Linked DNA regions of Drosophila melanogaster. The protein of the gene in region 1 purifies or fractionates together with the protein of each later gene. This does not show direct contact. Each region holds a gene or a part of one and is shown on either strand. Other genes may lie near its edges.

What was found. The genes of interacting proteins can lie anywhere in the genome.
Region 2: the proteins of Keap1 (region 1) and ref(2)P purify together in Drosophila melanogaster (affinity purification with western blotting; 3 studies listed by BioGRID). This does not show direct contact.

Annotation. Positions count from the first base shown.
Region 1 is NT_033777.3:17,071,815-17,080,688, reverse strand, and holds Keap1 (Keap1), read left to right. Parts: upstream 1-2,586; 5' UTR 2,587-2,783; coding exon 2,784-2,871; intron 2,872-3,795; coding exon 3,796-4,112; intron 4,113-4,186; coding exon 4,187-4,444; intron 4,445-4,503; coding exon 4,504-5,186; intron 5,187-5,302; coding exon 5,303-5,508; intron 5,509-5,572; coding exon 5,573-6,351; 3' UTR 6,352-6,747; downstream 6,748-8,874. Other genes in the region: mRpS11 (mitochondrial ribosomal protein S11), read right to left, coding at 6,954-7,061, 7,122-7,187, 7,351-7,451, 7,506-7,636, 7,695-7,891; Ns1 (nucleostemin 1), read left to right, coding at 8,086-8,107, 8,172-8,874.
Region 2 is NT_033779.5:19,539,128-19,547,039, forward strand, and holds ref(2)P (refractory to sigma P), read left to right. Parts: upstream 1-3,340; 5' UTR 3,341-3,689; coding exon 3,690-3,861; intron 3,862-4,492; coding exon 4,493-5,974; intron 5,975-6,029; coding exon 6,030-6,175; 3' UTR 6,176-6,421; downstream 6,422-7,912. Other genes in the region: CG13082 (uncharacterized protein), read left to right, coding at 1-502; CG13081 (uncharacterized protein), read left to right, coding at 1,566-1,866, 1,922-2,099, 2,162-2,216; CG10337 (uncharacterized protein), read right to left, coding at 6,678-7,009, 7,076-7,298, 7,520-7,684.

The DNA.
Region 1 (8,874 bases):
TAGGAGGCTGATACCGCGTTCGTTTTTTAAAATGGCGGCGCGACAGCCGCAATTGGCGATAATTTGTTTGGAGAAAGGAAAAAAAATGTGAGCTCTTGGGCGAGGGGTGCAATAAAGCCCTTTTGCAGGGCAATAAAACTGATGTTTCTAACGCCTGCTGCTTCATATTTTGCGCACATTTTGAACATTTGAATTATTCCTTTGTACGCGCACAAATTTATGTATGTATGCTATACTATCCTACCGCAACAAAAAGGATGCGCAGACAGTGCCCATCGAAACCAGCAGTATTTTAGCTTTTTGTAAATCAATATAAACATAAGCACACCCACCTTGTAGCGTTCTAGTTCTAGCAGCACAGCTAATACTTATACAGAAATTACTTTGCGACAAATTAACTGATTTCAATTCAACCGACGCCGATACAAACAAATTATAACCAACGCGCTAGTGGGACCTTAGCTACCACGCGGAGAAATACCACGTGCTGCCGATCATCGTTTTGCTTTCGATAAGTCACGATGGTTCACGTCTTGGAATTTCTACATCTATATGTAAAAAAAAAAAAAAAAAAATTATCAGAATAGTGAAACAGTACAACCAACTTTAAAGTTGTAATAATTAAAATTGTTTGTAAATGTGGTTTAATATCATGTATACCATTTATTTTATAAATATCCACCAGCTGGTTGGACATCTGGCAACTCCTGTCATTACATGCTTTCAGTGTCGAGCGTTTTCCAGCACTTGCATGTTTACCTTAAGAAGAAGAGTAGAAAAAATCGTTGTGTAGTGGCAAAATAAATAAATACAGATGTGAGTAGCAGTAAATAAAACATACAAAGTGCAAAAAAGGCATAAAAAGTGCATGACCCTCGCATAGTTTAGTTTCCAGCTGGGAAACCTTTTATTTGTCTACGATCGTACATTTATCTGCATGTGAAAACCTCAATGAAACAAAGGGAGAAATTAACGGTGTATTTTCCCAGCCGATTTACGTGGTTATATACATAAATATATGAAGTATCTGTGAGATCTTGAAATCCCTGGTGATAAAGTGTAAATGTTTGTCCTGCATTGCGGTAATCTCTTACAACAAAGTGGTTTGTTTTAAGTGGCCTTCTTTCGAGTTCAGTTTCAATGGCCTTTATCAGCTGTTTGGCACATGGCGTTGGAAGTGCGGGTGTGTGTATGTATGTAAATAGTATGTACAGTACGTACGTGTGTGCAAGGGTGACAGCTGTCGCCCCAGGGAGAGCAATGTAAGTGAGTAATATTTGTTTATGTGAAAGCAAAGTTCAACGGTACCTGCAAACACACAAACACACATCCCCAACATCCGTGCTGATTACGCTGCTGTTTTCACCTACACCGACGTACCACTGTGACAGTGTGTAAGGTTTTGCCTCTTCAGCATGATTCGGCACTATTTCGTCCAGTTTTTGCCTTTATCATTCATTTACCAACAACCAACTCAGCGTCACTTTATGCGGAAATTTAAAGCCGCACTTTGATGAACTAATGTTATTAAAGGGCGTGGATTTTCCAAAGTACGTTTGATTCGCCATAATACTTATATGGGATTTTTGGCGGGGGAAGTCCCTTTTGCCCTTATCTGATTAAACAAAAATATTTGTGTAGTACATATGTAGTGGTTTTAATTTGGTGATTCAGATAAGAAAAACATACGATAAATTTTAAACGTTTTGTAAACATTTCTCTAGAATAAATAATAAAATTAAAGGATAATCTTTGAAAGGGTTTTGTGTCTTAATATTATTAAATGAAAAAAAAAAATATTTCATTATTGTAGTTACTTCATTTAATGCGAAAAATTTTTTTAAGTGTGTATCAGTGATATTAATATTTCTATCGTCATGTGTATAAGGCGTTCATAAATTGAAATTGTTTTGGGAACATGACTTGATACTTCAAAATTTATTGCCTTTTCAATTGAGCTTGGTAACAATGATTAATCGGATATACCGTACAATATTGTGTATATGGCCATTTATGTTGTGAAATTCCCTTAAGACAGAACTCCGATCATGACTAAAATACTATGCAATAAAAAATAGAGAGACGTAATCTCTTTTAAACATATTCCACGATATGCGCATACGAAATTAGCTTAGCTTTTTGTTTTGATTGTATTCAATAGTTCATTTGGCACGGACTTTGAACACATTTTAGCTATCTTTTGAACAAAACGAAATTCCTAACTGCTTGCATGACACGCGTAATTTTTTTGCAAACGCTGTGTAGCCTGAGGCTCCATACAAAAACCTGTTGCTGGTAAACATGGTAAACAATTATGTTTGCCATCGGTTACGATTTGTGAGCATCATCGTTACGGTCCAAAAAACCGCCCACGGGCCGTGCGTTTCATTCATGGCATTATATAGTTTTTATCGCCACAACACGGAGTGTATTCACCTGGAAGGGCCACATAGAACTCAGGCACATGTGTGCACACACACACATATGTAAGCATGATAACGCTCTTTGAAACGCTCCCCCCACTCCGCCACCATCCCCGCGAGAGATAAGTCTCGGTGGGCTCTGTGGCTGGGCAGACGCAGACCACGGCAGTCAGTTGACGGGCTCTCTCCACGGCACACGCATGATCGCCGGAGCGGATTTGCGGAGAAGCAGCTGATCGCGCGCTTTCATTTTCACACGGACTTTCAGTCTTTGTTTGCGAAACTATTGATTATTGAAACTATCTCTACCGAACTAACGAAGCTGTGAAGGATCCCTATCGATCCGAGATTAGTGCCAAAATGCAAACCCAAATGCACTCGCCCATGCAATATGAGACCCACATCTCCGACATGCCCAACCACAAGGGATACCCCTGCCGCCCAGAAGGTTGGTTTTTTTTAAAGTTCTGGATTTGACCTTGGGTCTACAGTTCAATTCGCAACAAGTTTGCCAGATATTTTCGCTACGCGTGCTTTTGGTAAAAAAAAAAGAAACCACTGATCATGACGGTGCGCATTGCGAATCAAGTTCTCTGAAACAGCCCACAATGATTGGCGAAAACGATTCCAGATTGTGCTACAGTGAAGTCACTTGTAGTTGAATGTGAGATGATAAAAATTAATGGAGTGAAACGGCACTTATCCAGGTTGCATTGCTCGATTTGGACGTTTGAATAATTAGAGACATTTGAAATATTATCGCGAAAGAAACTGGTTTGTGTTGACAATGCAAATTCCGGTTGGCAATGTAGTATCCATTCGAAAGAGTGTTCTTGAAATAAACAGATAATTTACCTTAATCTTATCTTAGTTTTCTAATCGAGAGCTTATAAATCTTTAAGCCCAATTTACCAAATTACCAACTCATAAACTTACCAACTTATTCGCATTCAAAAACAAAATAAATGACCGCTTTAATTTCTAGAACGTATTAAAGGTCGGTCGTATCTAACCTTTCGGTTATCTTGGATATCCATAATATAGTACGTCATTTCACACTTGGAGGATTTCTTTAAAGTGCCATTTTTAATTTTTTTGCAAATTCATAACAGATTAGATAATAAAATAGAATAAATAGCCCGCGCTGATTGTCGATCTATTTGCGATGGATGAGGTACGAGGTACAAGGGTTACAGGGCTCAACTGTAGGGCGTGTATTGGTTTTAAGATTAATAATAATTAATAATAATTAATTACTATTTAATATAATTATTAATTATTATTAAATTAATTGTTAAATAATTAAAATTAATTGAATATTTTCTGAAATATGTCCTGGAATTACAATATGATCTATTCCTCGATTTTCCAGAGGCTGAGATGAGCAACACTTCGGAAAGTTGTTCCATCTCATGCGGTGGTCGATTCGGATCGGCGCACTCGACCCTAGATGATCACGATGCTACGGATGATGACATGACCTTCTGCATGTCCAATTACGCCAAGGAGGCCCTGAAGATGATGTACATGATGCGTTCGCACGGCATGCTCACGGACGTGGTACTCGAGGTGAAGAAGGAGCTCTTTCCCGCCCACAAAGTGGTGCTGTCGGCGGCATCGCCCTACTTCAAGGCCATGTTCACGGGGGGACTCAAGGAGTCGGAGATGTCGCGCGTCCAGCTCCAAGGGGTAAGTTGAGCTCAAGCGCGGCCCTTAATTGGTTGGTTTAATGGATGAACAGTTCGTCCGTTTCGGTGTTACAGGTGTGTCCCACGGCCATGTCACGCATCCTCTACTTCATGTACACCGGCCAAATACGTGTGACCGAGGTAACGGTGTGCCAACTCCTGCCCGCGGCCACCATGTTCCAAGTGCCAAACGTAATCGATGCCTGCTGTGCCTTTCTGGAGCGCCAATTGGATCCCACGAATGCCATTGGCATCGCCCACTTTGCTGAGCAACACGGCTGTGTTGAGCTGCAAAAGAAGGCCAATGTGTTTATTGAGCGAAATTTCACTCAGGTAACCTATTTACGATATGAAAAGAGTACACAAAACTATAGCTACTGAGTTCCCCTAAGGTGTGCCAAGAGGAGGAATTCCTGCAGCTTTCGGCATATCAGTTGATTGCCCTGATACGAAGGGATGAACTGAATGTGCAGGAGGAGCGAGAGGTTTACAACGCTGTGCTAAAGTGGGTGAAATACGACGAGGACAATCGACACTGTAAAATGGAGCACATTTTGGGCGCTGTCCGTTGTCAGTTCCTTACGCCCAACTTCCTCAAGGAGCAGATGAAAAACTGCGATGTTCTGCGAAAGGTGCCCGCCTGTCGGGAGTATTTGGCCAAGATCTTTAAGGACTTAACGCTGCACAAGTGTCCAGGAGTCAAGGAACGAACCCCCAACACCACAAGGATGATATTTGTCGCCGGTGGCTTTTTTCGTCACTCACTGGACATTCTGGAGGCCTACAATGTAGACGACATGACGTGGACGACACTGGCAAATCTACGCATTCCAAGATCTGGTTTGGGTGCCGCCTTTCTCAAGGGCAAGTTCTATGCGGTTGGAGGCAGAAATAACAACATTGGATCTTCCTACGACTCGGATTGGGTGGATCGCTATAGTGCAGTCACCGAAACATGGCGTCCGTGCGCTCCCATGTCCGTGCCACGCCATCGAGTGGGCGTGGCCGTGATGGACGAGCTGATGTACGCCGTAGGCGGGTCCGCCGGCATGGAGTACCACAACACGGTGGAATAGTAAGTAGTGTTCATCATTTCAATAGATAATAGTTTAATTAATTTGACAAAGCCTTTCTGGTTGTTTATTCTATCGACATAGTTTAGCAAACCCTATTTATTTAAATCTCTTGCAGCTATGACCCCGATTTGGATCGCTGGACTCTTGTACAGCCGATGCATGCCAAGCGCTTGGGAGTGGGTGTTGTGGTGGTCAACCGTCTGCTTTATGCCATCGGAGGTTTCGATGGAAACGAGCGCTTGGCCAGCGTGGAGTGCTACCATCCGGAGAACAATGAGTGGAGTTTTTTGCCACCACTACAAACGGGTCGCAGTGGAGCGGGTAAGAATGACTGGCGCATCCTGTTATCTAATTTCCAACTAAGTTCCGATTTAATTGCTATCAGGTGTTGCTGCAATTAACCAGTACATCTACGTTGTTGGTGGCTTCGATGGCACCCGTCAACTAGCCACCGTGGAGCGTTATGATACCGAAAACGATACCTGGGACATGGTTGCGCCAATTCAAATCGCACGCAGTGCTCTCTCGCTGACTCCGCTGGACGAAAAACTGTACGCCATTGGTGGATTCGATGGCAACAACTTTCTGTCCATAGTCGAGGTCTACGATCCACGAACAAATACGTGGACAACAGGAACACCACTAAAATCGGGAAGATCGGGTCATGCGTCGGCGGTTATTTATCAGCCGGCGTGTTCCACCACGTTTATGGACTACGAAGATAGTGACGCCCCACACCCGGATGGAAGTAACAACGGGGAAAGGAATGCTCATACACCACAAAACACGTACGGCAGTGGGAGTCCACATTATCCTGGGACGGCGTCCAATATGCAGTTTCATACTTCATACGGAATGAGCGGCTGCAACAATTGTGACTCGGAAATGGATATAAAACCATATATTCCTGCAGAACACCATAGTTTTCAAATTCCCGCCATTAGATCCGAGGAGCTAGTCAATCCAAACTGTCCTTGGTCCAGAATGCAGGAAAGATTTCGAAGAACTCCACCAGCGTCTTTCACAGATGATGAGAGAAATGCTAATGATATGCGGCATAAATTAAAAAAAGCACAAAAAGAATGTTTATTTAGCACAGCAGCGAAAGTTTTTCACCATCACATCGAAGGTCGCCTGCGAAAACTCACGAGCGCAGCCACATGACAATACGAATCCGAGCCTCACGCTTAGCCTCAACCAAAAACATCATTCATTGTACAAAGCCTGATCGTATCCCCTAGAATTCCATGTTGAGAAGCAGCATTCCATTGTAATATTACTTACTAGTGTGTTCGCTAGGTGATAATTAGTCAAACCGTTTTTATGGCATCCATAACATAACTGGCGCTCGTCAGCCCATTTTAAAAAGATTGATTAGGGTTAATAGTTGATTAGTGGGAGGAAAGTTCGTATTTTACGTATTTTGTAGGTATCCAAACTGATAGATTGCGTATTGTACTTTTTTTAACGTAGGATAAGAAGAGGAATTATGCGCATCCAAAATAGGTTTTAAGAAAAGAAAGCAAATAATTTAAGAAAAATAAAACAAACATATTTTACAAAGTTATTTAATCTTTTTGCTATTAATCTTGTGCAAACCTTTGGCCGTGGCAACAAAAAGGCCATATTCAAATATCTTCCTAATAAAACTCACCGTGACAGTGCTATTTATTCCATTAGAAAGATAAACTGTTGTTTTCGTATTTGTTTGTAAACGACTATTTGTGTATTTTGCTTTTAAACAAGTTGTCTTAACAAGTTGCACATTAAAGACTTCTCTGCTTTCGGGGTCTTGGAGGATTGAAGGAAACATGTGTGTTGTCGGTAATGGAAACGATGTTCAGCCCACCCATTTGCAGTCCTTTGATGGCCGACTGAATCAAAACATTTAATTATTTTTAAGTGACATGAGAGACAAAAAGTATTGAACATACCATTCTTCCAGGGCCAAGACCACGAACCTTTACTCGCACTGTCTTCCAGCCCAATTCAATGGCTTTCTGAAATACAATTTAAGTTTTTTGTTTTAAATGATTCTATGCCCATATTATACTATTCAAATGCATATATGGTATACAACTATAATGGAGATTATCTCGATGTTCTATGTAGTTTTTGACCATCCTACTTTGGTAAAACCTGTTTCTTGTGGAAATGACTTACTCCACTAATGGTAACCGCTGTAGCTTGAGCTGCTATGTTGGTTCCCTTGCGAGTGTTTTTGAATCCCTCAATTCCACAGGATCGTATCAGCCGGAGGACTCCTGGAAAGAGGGATACTTTAGATCACAGTTAGAGTAACGTTCCAGATGACCCACCTTTGTGATCCGTGACGGAAATAATTGTGTTGTTGGGTGAAACGCGAATGTTGCAGATGGGCAGCTCGTTGAAGGGTATTCCATTGAATAACGTGTTGGCGGTGCTGGCATCCGGGAAAAACTTAGCCTTGCTAAATGGAAAATTAATTGAATTCAAGACTATTTACAAATGTAAAATTGAATTCCAACCGGTTGATAAGTGTGTCGATGTCCACGGTCTTTTCGCCCACGGTTCCTTCGTCTTTGGCCGGTAAAGATGCCAGCATTTCCTTGCGGTCCTCCGCCTTCCGCCAGCAAGCGCTCGTGTGTATCCTAGAAGTCTGGAGCGGCACAGCGGGCATAGTAATACTCCGAAGAGCACTTAGAAATACACTTTTCAGTGACATTATTAATTTACTTCGCAGAGGGTTCACAAAAACCAAATTACATCACACTGCCAGTCTGGCAACACTGGCAGTGTTGGCTAGCACGCCACAACAAGTGGCCACGCTTCGTGGTGACTGACAAAAAGTCAAGAAGAAGACTATTTTCACGTGTTCTTGTTTTAAGTTGGTTTTGATTCCGGTTATCCTCGTGTAAAATGGCTTTAAAAAGGTTGAAGAGTAAGTAATAGTATATATGTATATACATTAAATGAAGCTCTACATCTATTGTCAAAATCCACAGCCAAGAAATCCAAGAGGCTCACCGGTCGCTTGAAGCACAAGATCGAAAAGAAGGTGCGGGACCACAACAAAAAGGAACGTCGCGCAGCCAAGAAGAATCCAAAGAAGGGTAGCAAGAAACAGAAGCTCATCCAGATCCCAAACATCTGTCCCTTCAAGGATGACATCCTCAAGGAGGTGGAGGAGGCCAAGCAACGTCAGGAGGCCGAACGTTTGGCTCGCCGCGAAGCCTTTAAGGCGGAACGCGAACAGAACAAGTTCAAGACGCTGGAGTCCATGGTCGAGGATGCAGACATGCGGAGCACCGTGCACGGAATAATGCACGAAAACGATGCCCAGGATCAGGACGAAAAGAAGTACAAGAACGCCGTGACCAAAGAGCAGTCATTGAAGCAGTACTTCAAGGAATTCCGCAAGGTGATAGAAAATGCCGACGTTGTCCTGGAGGTGGTTGATGCACGTGACCCCCTGGGAACCCGCTGCAATGAGGTTGAGCGCGCCGTTCGCGGTGCTCCGGGCAACAAGCGACTGGTCCTGGTGCTCAACAAAGCCGACCTGGTGCCGCGAGAGAATCTGAACAACTGGATCAAGTACTTCCGTCGCAGCGGACCTGTCACCGCCTTCAAGGCTTCCACACAGGATCAGGCCAACCGGCTGGGACGCCGCAAACTCCGCGAAATGAAAACCGAGAAGGCTATGCAGGG
Region 2 (7,912 bases), on another chromosome or scaffold:
ACCCATGCCGCAGCTAATTAAGCCCTTCCACTTGGAGGCGGAACCGGAGTTGATTCAAGCTCTGCCCCCCGTCTCCGCCAGCAGCAGTGCCGGTTCTAATCTCCTCGAGAGCTTCAATCATCCCGGATCGCAGTACTTCCGCAGCTCCCGCTCCTTGAGAGGCGATAGCTATCTGGATACCAATCGCCTGACCGGCGGCGATTATGCCAGTCCGCGCTCCATTAGTGCCCCCATTTACCGCAGCGATCTTGGCAGAGGAGCCAATGGCCTTTACCCCCCCATCGACGCACCCACCTACTTCTCGGACCAATCGCGCTCCTGGCAACTGGACGAGGAACCCACTCGGGCACAAGCGGTGGAACCGGAGATCGTTAGCTTCGATCTGTTGGCCGACGACGACCTGGCCGAGTCCCGAACCCTCCTCCGGGACGGACTGGCGCGCTGCGCTCGCGGAGAACGTCGTGATAGCTACGGCGAATGTCGCCAGATCGAGGGCTATTAAGCGGAGGAGTGAGAACGCCAGACTGCCAGCTTAAATGTTAGTTTCATACATTGCACACTCTAGAATTAAGCCGACGAAATTGTCTTATTAATAAATACGAAAACATAATCGACATTGAGATTAAACTGCTCGTTAGTAGGAGCAAATATGGGAGATGATTTATTTGCGACTAACATTAAGCACCATTACATGGCTAATAACTTTTTGTTAATAGTTAGCTTCAGATTGCAAATCACCTTCTATGTAGATGCTCCAACGGCGGAAGTGGGCACTGGATCTAACGGTTCGAGTTCGGCTTTAATGATGCGCTGAAGGATGAGGCTGGAGTCTGGATAGCCTTCCTGGGGCCATAAAACGGCAATTACTGTCCAGAGCCAAAGGCCAGGTGCTCCATAGTTTGCGATGTACGCGAGATTTATGTGCGAAACCAGTTTGCAGGTGGCTGCCAGCCCCTTCCTGTGGCCAAGTCATTGAACCCGCGCCCAGAACTGCACCCAGACTAGATAACTGAAAGAGATCTAGCTGTGTCTATTGCAGGCGGGGCAATTAGCACTGCCATAAAGATTTTGGACTTCTTTTTGCGGCAAATTGAGGTTATTGGGTTAACTTTTTTTGGAATCATGCTTACAGAGATTGGGTTACTAAACAAATTTAAATTGGCGCAAGATGAGTGAAAATAACTCATCACAATAATAAAAAAAGAAGTTTCTTCTTGAAACTCAATGCGATATCTGCGAACGACAATGGGTTAGATGAGGAGCCGGAGAAGATCGAACACAAGGCAGATAGTTCCTCTCGAATGGAACGGACTTCGAACGTGGCTGCTGGGAAGCATTAGAAATGCGCGGAGCTAAAGATTCCCACAGCAACCTGGCAATGCGGAAGTCTTTGGGCTGATTGGAGGCGGCCATTGAACTGTGTCCATAAATCGGGTTTTCTTGGTCTTCCAGTCTCCAGTTGTGGTCCAGGTGGGCTCGCCTTCACAGCGGCCGAGAACTTGGAATCATTCAACGCACGCCATTGGAGCACATCGGTCCTGCGGTCTTTTCGCTTGGGCAACATCATGTGCAAGTTCACCAACCGGCTGTTTGTGTTCGCCCTGCTGCTTGTGGCACTTGGAAGAATTCTGGCCCAGCCCGTTGGCGGCAAGACTAGGCCAGGGAATTCGAGGAACGTGATCAGCGACTTGCTGGACGTCTTATACGACGACTATTCCGAGAATGGTTTTCAGCGCGAGGACATTCTATACGACCAACGGCAAAAGGGTGGGGAGAACTATCAGTTCAAAGTGGATGGGGTCGTCATCGGAATGGCGCCTCAAATGAGCTCCAGCTTGCTCTACTCCATGGCAGAGTCCTACTTGAGTGAGTACTACTGTAATAGAATCGAATTGCCGACATAACACTAATTCCACGCCAGGTGAAATGTTGTTGCGCCAATCTACACCGGATCCAGATTCAACTCAGATGTACGAGAGGGATCCTGAGACCGACACAGACTCTGGTTCCACCGAGGGCGTAACTAAGATTCCTGAGCTAGCCCAGATTAATTTGGAAAGCAGACAACATCAAATTGTAGCTTCTCAAACTGCCAGCCGGTTAGTACAGCACTAATATGTAATTCTGCTTAGAAACTAATTAAAAGATGGTTTTTGCTCAGATCTCCAACTCAACTGCTCCAATTGCTTAAGATGCTCAAAAGTTCTAAGGCCTAAAATGATATCTTTAGATACTATGACAAGAAATTAGTCCTAAGTTCTTGGAAAATACATAGCAAATAAAATCATTCTTCGAATTTAAATTTCCGTTGATCCCATTGGTGCTGTTCCACTGAACAATATTTAAAAAGTTCAAAATCACTGTACAGTACTTGGTATTTTAAACATCCATCACTTTTCCATTCAAAATATATAAATATTGAAAAGCATGACATACGATGTTTTTTTTTTTTTATTTTAACTTAGTGTGTCAACTATCTTTATAAAAAAAATTAAAATTTTCTGGGAATCCAATAGAAAGCTCAGTCTGGAGATGAATCCTCGAAAGCGGAGCTAATTTGCAAGCAAGACTCGGCATCCAATAGTGGATATCTGCAGATCGTCCGATTTGAGAACTCCGAAATCATATGCTTTTCATTCCTATTTTCTTTAGATCCCGGACAATTGATTTCTGTTTTTTTTCTGTTTTGATTTTCATCATCGATTGATTAATTTCCATGAGGACATTGTTTTCAAAGCTTTTAAGACCGCGAATAAATCCAGTCTCATTCAGTAAAGATTCGTGAAGGCAATTTCGTGTGATATCAAGATATATATGTATATTCGGAAATAATGTTCACGTGAACCTCGCGATTTGGAAGTTCAATCCTTTGAAGGATTGAATGATTAGGACGCCATCCTTTATATGTTTTAGATATAAATATCACCCTTCACCTTCTCCAGTTTGATACCTATCAATATTACTAGGGAATGCATTACGACGGAATTCAAAACATCTTGAAAAACCTCCAATTACCCCAGTTCAGATTGACCGTTTTATTGCCTCCCATTTTTATAGTTCCGAAGAAAATTACGAACGCAGAGGCATCATTTTAGATTACCTAGATTGCCAAGTTTCATAAAACAAAACCATCTTTAGATTAGGTTTTCAATATTTCGGGTTTGCTGATTTCGATATCGATAAGAAACTGACGTATGTATGTGTGAAGTTTTAATGGGTAAAAATATCGATATTCTGGCGAAATTTTATGTAAAGCAAAATGTGAATGTAAAAATACTAAAAGTGGTGAGTTCGATAGAGCCGCGTAAAAATATTTTCATTATCGATAACCGAAGTATTATTAATCTTTGCCAAAGACCAGCTTTGGCATTACAATACAATTTTGGGGATAGATTAACTAGTGCAGCCCAGCAGGCAGCACCGTGATTTGCAACAATTTGAGCCTCACTCATTCAAGAACCTTCCAGCAACTAGTTCGCCTAGTATATATACCTGCTCTCACCCAGCTGCACTTGTATACACAATCGAACGGCCGAACAAAAACTACGCAGTAGTCGAGAGCTCCAAATTAATAGAATCCGTCACATAAATTCGCCGCAACAAGTTAAACGAGAATAAAAGCGTCAGCATCGATATATATACATACATATATTCAAAAGTCTGTCGAAACTACAGAATACGTTGCGAAAATGCCGGAGAAGCTGTTGAAAATCACCTACCAGGGCGCTGGACCCCAGAAAAAGATAAATGCATACCTGCGGATGCCCTCCCAGAATTACACCATATTGCGTCGCGAAATCGAGCTGTATCTTTTCCAGGAGCGCCAGTTACCCAAATGCGACGTAAGGACCTTCTGGATCGGTGAGTTTTACAATGAAAATGCCGCAGAGTGAATGTTTGCTATACATACAAACAGTTATTCGCAATTGCAATCGAGTCGCAAAGATTGCAACATATGTGCATGGTATAAGTACATTCGTTTCCATACATAACTGCATCCGTCCGAGCAGTGCTGACCATTTAGCTTTTAAGTCTCGTTACTTAAAAACCAGCCCAAATTATTGCGTACTTTGCCCAACAAAGCAGGGATTCACCTAGATAGTATTCCTGCTCAATGCTTATCATTGGCAAAATTGTGTTGACACATTAGCTGATAAATATGTACATATATATTTTTATGGTACAAACGTGGTCAACATATTAGATGCACTGTTTCATAAATGGCACACATACAAAACATTTTTGATTTTACATATTTCTGAATTCTCGAATTATACATATATATTTTAAATACATCTAACGCGCTTTTTAATTTGTAAAGTATGTGTACATGTACTCATATACATTTACATAGATCAAACGGGTTGTGCTGGTACAACCACAACTGTAGCTAATTTGTCTAACTAGAGCCCTCAGTGATTCACCTTTGATAACAAAACTTCACTGATTCATAATTGATTTTATTTTCCTTTGCCTATTCTAACTTTTGCAGACGCTGATAAAGATGAAATCGAAATAGTCAACCAAAATGACTATGAGATTTTCCTGGCCAAGTGCGAGAGCAATATGCACGTTCAGGTGGCTCCACTGGCGCCCGTAGAGGAGCCAAAGGCCACCAAGCAAGAGGGTTCTTCGGCCAACGCTGAAGCTCCTTCTGTCGACGATCCGAGCAATTTCACCATCCACGACGCCGTTGAATGCGATGGCTGCGGCTTGGCTCCCTTGATTGGGTTCCGCTACAAGTGCGTTCAGTGCAGCAACTATGATCTTTGCCAGAAATGCGAGTTGGCTCACAAGCATCCTGAGCACTTGATGCTACGCATGCCGACCAACAATGGACCCGGTATGGTCGATGCCTGGTTCACAGGTCCAGGATTGGGACGCCGCAGTGGCCGGCGCTCCAGGGGACATTGCCCGTTTCAGGAGACGAACCAGGCAGATCCTGCTGGCGAACCCGCAAGGGATAGTCGCCGTGAACGGCGTCAGGCCCGCCGCCATGCCGGAGTCTTGACTCAGTTTGTCGAGATGATGACCAACTTGCCGCTGAACACAACAACGGCCACGGCACCAGCCGAACCGCAGAAACCGAAGGCTGCAGAACAAACTGAAAGTCCTCCACAAGCTGAGCCCACTGTTACCGCTGAAAAGGCAGCTGAATCCGAGGCCAAACCAACTGAGCCGAAGAAGGTTAACACTGATCAAAGTGTCCCTAGAACCGAAGATCCAGTGACGACTCCACGTTCCACTCAGCCAACTACTCCAGTGATTAATCTGGATAACATTTCGCAGATTGTGCCACCCGAGTACATGAGTGCTGGCATCGAAATCCTTAATAACTTCAGCGAAATGTTTTCCAAGATTATCGATACCACTGAGGGCGGTGATTCGGGAATTTTTGCGCCCTCAACGACTCCCAGTGCTGAGAATAAGAAACCAGAAGAGCAGGGTCAATCCAGTGGCCAGTCGGGGGCATCCTCGGCCAACCAGTCAGCTGTTCCCTCTGCCGCTCCATCGGCTAATCAGTCTAATGTCCCATCTGCTAACCAGTCGGCCACTCCATCAATTTCTGGTTCGATCCCTGATGCTCAGCTTGAGACAGAGCCCCTGAATCCTAAGCCATCGGAAACCACCACCGAAACAGAGCAGGAAAGACGCCGTTCAGACAGCTTGGATCCAGAGTGGCAGCTTATTGACAATGCATACTCTGCAAACAATAGTAACTTGATCAATCTGGACACAACCAATCCCACTGCTGCTCCTCAGGAGCCGGTGCGTGATTTTGGTCAGCTGGGCGAACTATTGCGTCAGCACATGAATGAGGAGGCTCGCGTGGAGCAGGCTTCGGCCAACACCCAGACTGCTCAAGTTGATACGGTGAGTACATCGACCTCGACCACATCGGTGACCACCAATAGCGTCGGCACCTCCCCAGCAGCTCCCGACGACAAGCGCACGGTCCCCGTCTACCACACTGGTAAGTGCCGAATTAAATAACTAATCGCTTTGTATTAATTATGTCTCCTAATTAGATGAAAGCATCAATAAATCGATCCATGCCATGATGGCCATGGGTTTCAGCAACGAGGGCGCCTGGCTAACCCAGCTCCTAGAGTCGGTTCAGGGCAATATCTCAGCTGCCTTGGACGTAATGAACGTATCGCAGAACCGCAACTAAATATTCATATTCAATATCGATATATCTACAATGTATCTTCAATATCTATAGAACCCAATGAAAAAGGGATTTTACTTTATCGTATCAGTTTACTACGTAGCTTAGTTTTTCTGTGGTGCTAGATTTATCTCGTAGCCAAAATAAATGTGAAAATAGATATATGTTATGTTTTAAATAATCAACAAAATGTTATCGTATATATATGTATGTGTGAAATTGCAATAAAGGCACAAAGTAAAATGATTTAAAATGCCTGCTTTATACCTGATATGGTTTTGTTTAGTAGAGTACGATTGACAGACAACAAAAGCCTCCTCCACTTAGATAATGTGTTTATACGTATGGTATAAATCGATTCTGGTTTTTCAGAGTTCAAATCCGCAAAGCACTCGAATTATTTCTTGAGTGATACACAAATCCACAATACTGTGTTTCGGAATTCGATTCGTTTCCTGTAGTATTGATATTCCAGTGTGAACACTACTCGCTTGTCGAAAGAGCCTCAAAGATCTTCTCTAGCTTCTGCTGCATCTGATCCAATAAAATAGTCTGTCGCCAAGCCGGCAACATCTCGCACAAATCTCCGGAGTTCGTAATTTGCAGTCGTAATGGTGGCAATAAATGTGAAAAATTTGAAGAGCTTCTGGTGGTGTGCCTTCCACTGTCGCCGACCGAATCCCGTGTTATATCCGAACATTTGAGATACCATCAGAACGAGGAATCCGGACAATCCGAAAAATCGATGAAGCATTTTCAAGGCGAAGCCACTGTTGATGAAATACAGCGGAAGACCGCTCAGAACGCTACCCAGAAGAAGAGCACAACCGATTATACCTGATGGGCGAAAGATGGAGGCATAAATTATCATTATATTTGGGAAAAGAACCGACGAGAACACACCGTAAAAAGCATGGTTGCTCTTAAAGTGACGAACGGTGGCATTGGGGTCTTCCCGTTTGCGCTCCAGCTTCTGCCATGTCTTGATTCCGATTCCGCCGGCTCCGACCAGGAATGCCAACAGCCCCAGGACGGCGTGCAGGCGGTTGAGGTTCAATGGACCCAACGAGGACTCCAAATATGCGCTATTCCGGACCAGCAATGCTTCGCCCATGAAAAACACAAACTATAATGAAATAGAAGATAGATGGAACAATGATTTAGGACGGGTAAAAATTTCAGGAGATAGTAAACCAGTTTATATTTAGGTCTTCCGGGTACAGAAAACTCTCACTCGAGAAATATATATCCTTGAAACCATTAGATTATTTGTTAACCGTGGCCTCAAACTTTCACTTTTTCACATATGTTTCTAAATCTTTTAATATCCGAAATCAAAATACTTACGCCGATTGTGCAGTAGAAGGCATGTCCGGCGGTGTGCACCAATTTGAGCACCAGACACTTGTAAACAATGGCTACGGTGATCCCCGCCAGAAGCACATGCGAGATCAGTGTGCAGAAGCCAAAGTAGAGGCCTCCATAGGAACCTTGCAATTCGGCAGTTGTCATTATGCTGAGGATGTCTTAGCTGTGCGAAAATCACTTATCTGCTACGTGAGATGCGCACGTAGAACCGATAAGACGAATCCAAGTATTTGGGCACCATAAACCGAAACCGAAGATCGCGACTGCTCGTGGCGGTTGTTAGAACGCTTTTGAGAGTCTGACGGCATGGAACAGCTGGAAAAAGCCATCGAAAGCTCCGCCAGCGTTATCCGAAAAATCAAACTTTCAAAG